Ovis aries: one gene and its partner. The protein of the gene in region 2 interacts with the protein of the main gene of each other region in a pairwise test. Links are inferred from orthologs where the notes say so. Each region holds a gene or a part of one and is shown on either strand. Other genes may lie near its edges.

Region 1 (3,679 bases), about 180 Mb from region 2:
CTTGGGGATGCTGTGGGTGATGGCTTCCGGTTAAAAGGATTCTCCTTGCAAGAAGACTAAAGGCAGGGAAACATGACAGAAGATATTAAAAGTCAGGAAGGGGCAGTGGGACCCTGGGAGCTTGATCACGTGGATCCACGGAAAGCAGGGCGGGTGGGACTCAGGCAGAATCTCCCAGCATCCAGTCTGAGGCACCCAGTCATTCAACAAAGACTTCCACCTCCCAGCACCCCTCATGTGCAGCTGCCACACTGGGTGCTGTTCTACACGCTTGTCTAATCCTCACAACCACTCCACAAAGTGGGTCATGTCTGCCCATCTTACCGGTGAGGAAACTTAAGTTTTGAGGGGTTAAGTAATTGGCCCAAGGTCACATTCTTCCCAAGGGCCCAAGCTGGAGTGTGACTTGGTCTGTTTCAGGCCGGGCAGCCCTCCGGCGCTAGGGGCAGTGGTCAGGATGTGCAGTTTAGGGCAGGACGAAGCAATGGTAGCTCACCCAGGCCTCACCAACACCCCTTTCCCAGCAGGGATTACAGGGCTCAGCACTTTGCCCAGGGTCTCCCAGCCAGGAAGTACAAAAGCGGAATCCCGCTTTCAGTAGAGGGAGGCAGCCCCTGCCCTACCCAGGAAAGGCCCCCATCCTACACTGCTCCTCCCCAGGGAGATCTCTGTCCTCTCTGAGGCCAGCAGAGCGGGCAGGCCCAGCACGGGAACAGACCCTGCCTGCCACGAGGGCAGTGCCAGCATCTTCCCACCACTTCCCCCAGCTCATCGGAAACAGGCGTCCCTGAGGCCATGGAGTGCTCCCAGGAGGACCTGGCTTTCCAAGAGCTGGGGGAGGAAGGGGGAGGGGAGAGCTGCTCACCTCACCTGTGCCAGCTGCTCAGGTGGGGGAGGGGGAGTTCTTTGAGGCTGCTAGTTGCTCTGGGAGCTGACGTAGGAGTCCAGGCGCGGCTGGGAGATAGTCTGGTCCCCGCAGGGCAGCACCTACCCAAGGGCCTTGTCTCCCGCCCTCAATGTCTCAGATTCCCTCTGAATCCTAGGGTGAGGGTAAGGGATGGGGCACCCCAGGAGGAAGCCCCCTTGGGGCTCTGCCCTCACCCCCCACAATCACACCTGGAGCACCTCAACAGGGTCAGACAGCCCGAAGGCCCCAAGTCCCTCAAGGGTTCTCAGCAACAGAACTTCAAACCAACCCTTCACACACCCCAAGGCAGGAAACGGCCAGCTGCCTGTAGTGGGGATGGGGGGGATTCACAATCAGCGCTCTCCTCCACCCACTCAGCAAGGAACCCTGGGACCCCTAAGAACATCCAGAGGCCCAGAGAAAAGGCGGGACCTTGTCCAAGACACACAGCAGGTGGTGACAGCTGGGCTGGGGGTGGTCACCCAGACCAAAGAAGGTTAGATGGCATTTGAAAGGTGCACAAACCAACAGCTCCGGCTCCTCTGCAGACTATCCTCTGTCAGGCTGGTCAGATCAGGACTACAGCCAGCCTGGGGCCAGCCTCCACCCAAGGCAGGTGAGCCCCAGGCCCTCAAAGGACTGCAGAGTGCGGCACCAAGTGCAGGATCAGAACCCGCTGGTGGACTTCCCCGGTGGCCCAGTGGCTAAGAATCCGTTTACCAACGCAGGGGACTCGGGCTCGATCCCTGGTCCGGGAAGATTCCACATGCCTCGGAGCAACTGAGCCTGCACACAACTACCGAAGCCCACGCTCTCGGGCCCGCGTGCAACACCTGAAGCCCGTGCGCCAAGAGCCTGCGCTCGGCCACAAGAGAGGCCCCCGCAAAGAGCAGCCAGCACATCGCAACAGAGCAGCCCCCGCGCCTGCAGCTAGAGAAAGCCCGCACGCTACAGGACCCAATACAACCAAAAATAATCAATTAATAATTTTTTAAAAAAGAAGCTGGTGGCTTCAGACTTCCCTATTGGTTCAATGGCTAAGACTCTGCAGGGGGGCCCAGGCGCGATCTCTGGTCAGAGAACTCGATCCCACATGAAGCAACTAAGAGTTTGCATGGTGCAACTAAAGATCCCACGTGTTGCAGCTAAGACCTGGCACAGCCAAATAAATAAAAATTTAAAAAAAAAAAAAAAAAAAAAAAGGACCCTGGTGGCACAAAGGGACTCTGGTCCTTTAATAAATATTTTAGAAAAGAAAAAGATGCTGGTGGCGCAAAGGAGAGACCTCTTGGTAAACTAGGTGCCCAGAGGAGTGTCCTGCCCCCGGTGACCCCTGGTTCTTGGCGGGGCCCTGAGAAACAGGTGCTCCACCAATCACAAAGGTCATCTGGGAAACAAGCTGCCAGGGGCGGGTGCCCACTGCAGCCCCCGGAGGGGACGGAGCGTGGGGCCAGCTTGGGAGGGGCCTGGGAAGGGAGCGGCCGCAGGGGCTGTCTGTACCCCCAGAGTGGCCACAACAGAGGCTCCCAGCAGAGCTGTTTCCTGGGCCCTCTGCCTGTTGAGAGCTGACCTCTCCGCTACAAGTCCACCCCACTACAAACTCCACACAAGGCACAGTCATCTCGGTGCGCCACCCCCAACTTGGCTATGAGCACCTGGGGACAAGGACCACCACAGCCATCACCCTGGGAGCCCAGGCCAGCCCGTGCACACAAGAGCGACTCCATCGACACCATCAGCCCCGTTCTATAGGAGGGGAGACTGAGGTCTCTGGAGAAGGAACGCGACCCCAAGAAGGGCACCATCCCCTCCCCTCTGTGCTCTCTACCCCAGGTGGAAGGACAATCGTCTAGGCCTGTCTCCCTGAGCAGAGGGTGAGCCCCTGGAGGGCAAGGACAGGGTCTCAATGATGCTGTGCCAGGTTCTAGCACAAATAGGGCTTCAGTGAATGGAAAGCGGATGGAAGATGTGTGGGTGAGTGGTGGCTGGTGTGTGTGTCTCCAACAGGCACGTGCATGGGCTCGGCAGGTAAATAAGAGCTGGATGTCTCAAGACATGGAAGGTTGGGCAAGTGGACAGGTAAACAGATGGACAGGAGGTCTGGCCAGCGGATAAAAGGATGTTGAGAGGGAGCTGTACCTCAGTGCATGGAGTGATGAATGGCCAGACGGGCAGAGCCAAGGTCACCCCACAAGTCAGGGACAGCAACGATGGCCAGCCCTGGACATTCCTGCCCCGAGACCAGGCCCACGTCCGCTAGACAGGACAGCAGACACTCACCTTCACCTGCAGCTGCGGGGATGAGGCTCCAGGGGAAGGCGCAGGGCTCTTGTCTCCAACCAGCACAAGGGGGCTGGGGGCAGTGTCACCGCAGGGCTTGGCTGGTGGGGGACCCGGGCTGCCCCTGGCATTGGGGGCAAGCCCAGGGCTGGCTTGAGGCATCCGGTCCATGCTGGCCTGCACCAGCTCCCCGGAAGAAGACAGGGAGGAGTTGGCAGAGAGGCTGGCAGAGGTCCCAGGGGTGCCAGGGGCGTGGACGGCAGGCTCTGAGGAGCTCTTGGGCACGATGGGTGGTTCCAGGAGCTCCTCACTGGGAGGCTGGCTGGAGCTCTCGGACGACAGGCTCTCCACGCTGAGGGCTGGCGATGGGGTAGCTGAAGGCGGCTCCGAGCGGGACAGGCGGGAGGCATGGAGAGCTGCACAAACCAAACCGCGAATGGGTGCCGAGCGAGGGGGCAGAGACAGGCCGCAGAGACAGGCCCTCTGGCCTCG
Region 2 (4,169 bases):
TGAGTGGGGAGGGTGAACGCTTGTACTCAGTGGATAAGAAAGAGGAGGGCTCTGCCTCTCCCAGCCTTCCTGTCTCCCTCAGATAAGGAGTAATCTATAGCAATTCGGCTCTGCCACCTTCTTAGACCCAGTTAACAGCCAGCATGACTCAGGCAAAGCCAGGAGAGTGTCTCAGACAAGAGGCACTTAAACACGTCTGCTGTTCTGGGATCTTGCCCTCGGGGATGTTGGCTTCTCCCCACCTCCCCTCCCATTCTGCAAATGTCTACTGGGAGCTCCTGTAGCAGAGACCCCCAAGCAAGGACCCAGGGAGCTAGGCAGTAAGTGCTGGTGCCACAGGAAGGAGATGTTCTAAACAACCTACAAAGAATTATAACCAAGGTGTGGCCAGAGGGCTGGGGAAGGCCACGTGATGGGCAGGAGCCATCTGTAAATGGCCTGTGCTTCCCATGGGGCCAGGTGGAAGATGCATGTTACAAAGCACAGAACCAGGAGGCTCTGAAGTATCTTTGGCTGCAATGGGCATTTAACCAAAAAAGGGAGATGGATTAGATCAGGGGTTTTTGCCCTAAGGTCCAAGGCTTGGACTCCCAAAATTATATGTAAATTTGGGATGTAGGGACTTTTTTGTAAAGATGGGTTCACAGACTTTTTGAAAAGTTAAGAAGCAATGAATTAGATTCTTTGCAAGGGTCCTTGCAGGTAGGACCCTTTGCAAGGGTCCTAACAATATAAGACCTCCAAAAGCCAACAATCCCCCTGGGTACCCAACTTTAGAAATCACTCAGCCCCTCAAGCTGAGTGACTCCAAGGCTGTCCACCCCACAAGGAAAAACTCAGCTGATGTCCCGTTCAGACATGTCATGTTAATATGGTGTGTGCCCTGCTCCCAGAAGGCTTGTGTTAAAAGCTTAGCACTAGGGAAGATTTGAATCTAGAAAATCAGGAACTAGACTGTGAACTTTTCTGCTCTCCTCACCAAACAAAGCACAGTGCTTTGCATGTTGCAGGTCAATGAATGGAAACAAGAGCGTCCCTGCTTTGAAACCTTCCATAGGAGATGAGCACCATTGACTCTGCAGGGGCAGAGGGGAACTGAATCCATCACCACTTTCTATGAGCCTGACTCTCAACACAGAGGGCCACTCAACACAGAGCACCCTCAACAGCTTTCAGGCCTGTGAATGTGTGAATGAGACCAAGGAAGATGGCCTGGCCTTGAAGGCTATGTGGCCTGAGGGCTGGAGAGAAGCCTGTCTTCTAAAGATAGGAAAGGTCCTTATCGCTCTGGTGGACAATAAGCGTGAAGGCCGGGTGGCCAGCTGACTTCCTGAGGATCCCTACAGCCCGAGGATTCTGTAATTCAAGGGGATGGATGACTCACCCTCAAAGTTATAGGCATTGAGCCAACCATCTCCTCCCATGCATCTAGGACCGCATCCCAGGTCAGCCTCCCATCCTGTTATATGGTTTGGACAATTCATTTAACCTCTCTACGCCTCAGTTATCTTGCCTGCCAAGTCAAGGAGCTGGATGAGACCGTGGCCTGAGACCGTGGCCAATATTCTGTCCACCTCCAAAAGACTTTAATATGATTACTGAGCCACGAAGATCAACAGGAAACAAAATAGCATTCTGCCTCTAGACACTGTCTCCAGTCGACGAGAGATATTTGTAAAGAGCTCTGATTGGAAAAGGAAATTGATGAAAGAAGGACAAGTGGGCTCCCTGGCCCACCTCCTCAGCTGCAACTGTAAAGCCCCCATGTGAGTGACTGAAGCTTTTATAAGGCAAGGGAATTGGTCCTGACCATCAAGCACATGTCCCTACAAGGAGATGGTGTCAGACACCCCCACCAGCCTAAGGTATTCTTGTGACCAGGATACATCTCACTTGTGCCTCGTGGGTTTCAGTTTCACCATCCATAAAATGGGTAGCATAGGGATGGCTCTGAACTTTACACTTCATGGGCTGAGTGCAGTGGAGAGGTGCTAGGTAGGATGGAGCAAGGGACCATCCAATGAAATTATAGGGTAAGTTTTGGACAACCCCCCTACAAGGATTTCTTCAGAGATTTCAAGTGAAGACTTATCTCTTGTCCCCAGGAGGGACATCGGGAGAGAGCAGAGGGTCTAGCGCTGGGCAGCTGGGTGGGCTGCTGGGGTACCGTGGCTGGCTCACCTGATGAAGGTGGTCTTCCCGGTGGAGTACTGGCCCACCAGCAGCACCATGGGCTTGTTGTCGAAATCGGCATCCTCCAGGGCAGGAGAGTGAAACTCGTGGAAGCGATAGTGCTCTTCCAGGGGCAGCAGCTTGGTCCTGTACAGTTTCTTGAGCCCATCGCTCACGGTCTGGAAGACCTCGGGGTCCTTCCTCCGGCGGTCGTCGGAGCGCAGCCAGCTGAACATCGCGGCCACCGCTCGCCTGCTCGCCCCCGGTGCGCAGTCCCAGCAAGAGGGCTTGGAGTCTGCGACCCCGGGTCCTTGGGGAAGGTGTCCCACAGGGAGGGCCCGCTGGGCTCCCAACCGCGCCGCAGCCTCACCGGAGCGCCGGGCTCAGCCGCACCATGGCCAGGACGCAGGGCTCGGGGGTCCCCGGGTCGACGGCGTGGGACCGCGAACGCGCTCTTCCCCTGCTCCTGGGACCAAGCCCAGCCCCGGCTTCATCCAGCAACCAAGGCCGGAGAGAGGAAAAATATCTGGGTTGGGCGGGAGAGCTGCGATCTTGGGAAAAAAGTCAAACCTGCAATTAAAATGTCAGATGCCGGGTCCCCCGGTCTCCCCCAGCTCTCTCCCACTTTGGCTCGAGTGCAGTTAAGGGATGCTTCTAATCTGTTCCCGCCCGCCCCGGAGGCTCTGAGGAGGCGGCGGCGCTGCCCAGCCCGCGGACAGCTCAGCATCTGCAGCCGCAGCCCGCAGCCCCAGGCGCGGGTTTAAATGCCAGCCGTGCAGGAAGCCGGCTCGCGGAGGAAGTCCCCGAGTACTGGCAAGGCTGGCGCTGCCCTGCGGCCCCGGCGGGGAGAAGCTGAGCAGGGCGCCGCCATGTTTGTGGGCAGTGGCCCCACTGGGGACCCGCGACCGCTCGCTGCATGGGAAGGGAGGGATGCTGAGTTCTGTGGGAACGCTCTGGTATTTCATTCCCGGCCTCTGGAGGTTTAATTTGGGAACAGCGCCCTCTCAGGGACAGCTGCGAAGACAGAGTTGACCTGCTTCACACTCTCCCTGCTCTTAAATATAGGCTTCCCTTTACTGAGTTCAGTTCCTTAGGATGACAGGTTCTCTATTGTTAGGTAATATTTTTCTTGGCGCATGGAAGGAAGAGTCCAATATTAGCCCGCCCCAAATGACCAACACTATCACCACCCAAACTTTTTGCTTGGTCTAGGTGAAGTTAAACTATTCTCATTCATTCATTTGTTCATTCCTTCCAATAAAATCGAACAAAATAAGCAAAACGTCCACAAATATTAAGCCAGTATTACAGCACGATTTTGGTGACTGTGGTTACAAATTTGATCACCAAAATAAGCACATAGAGTCTCTCTCTTCCAGGAACTCCAGCCAGGCCGGGTTTTAAGAGGAGATAGGAACAGAAGGCCTGGGTGCATAGTGGGAGGAGGCATCCACATCCTTTTTGTCTGGATAATTTGAGAAAGGTGTCACAGAAAGCCTGACTATGAGCTGGATCTTAAATGATGAACCCATAGAGAAGAAGGGGGACATTCCAGGCTGAGTAAAGGGCACTTGCAAAGGTAGGGGAACATGGAAGAACTTGGTGGGTGAAGGCAGAGTCAACAGTTTGCTACCAAGAGTATGGAATTCAGGAGGATGGGAGGGAGTGACTGAGGCCAGGCAGAAAAGGTTTTACAGAAACAGGAATCACAGAAGGAATAAGGAATCAATAATAACGTTGTTATTAATCATGGTTAACATGGACCAAATGCTCACCATGTGAAGGGGCCTGGGCTAAGTTCCCTTCAGGTATTGTTTCATTTAACCTTCATAGCTTCCCTGGTGGCTCAGATGGTAAAGAATCCACCTGCAATGCAGGAGACCTGGGTTCGATCCCTGCATTGGGAAGATCCCCTGGAGGAGGGCATGGCACCCCACTCCAGTATTTTTGCCTGGAGAATCCCCATGGACAAAGGAGCTGACATGACTGAATGACTA

The links.
Region 1: the proteins of EHD3 (region 2) and MICALL1 interact in binary tests that used the Homo sapiens proteins (3 or more experiments, as listed by UniProt). The link is inferred for Ovis aries from reciprocal best matches to the Homo sapiens genes EHD3 and MICALL1.

Annotation. Positions count from the first base shown.
Region 1 is NC_056056.1:215,557,591-215,561,269, reverse strand, and holds part of MICALL1 (MICAL-like protein 1), read right to left. Parts: intron 3,604-3,679; coding exon 3,188-3,603; intron 57-3,187; coding exon 1-56. UniProt on the Homo sapiens protein: Lipid-binding protein with higher affinity for phosphatidic acid, a lipid enriched in recycling endosome membranes. On endosome membranes, acts as a downstream effector of Rab proteins recruiting cytosolic proteins to regulate membrane tubulation.
Region 2 is NC_056056.1:38,031,452-38,035,620, reverse strand, and holds the start of EHD3 (EH domain-containing protein 3), read right to left. Parts: upstream 2,910-4,169; 5' UTR 2,409-2,909; coding exon 2,182-2,408; intron 1-2,181. UniProt on the Homo sapiens protein: ATP- and membrane-binding protein that controls membrane reorganization/tubulation upon ATP hydrolysis. In vitro causes tubulation of endocytic membranes. Binding to phosphatidic acid induces its membrane tubulation activity.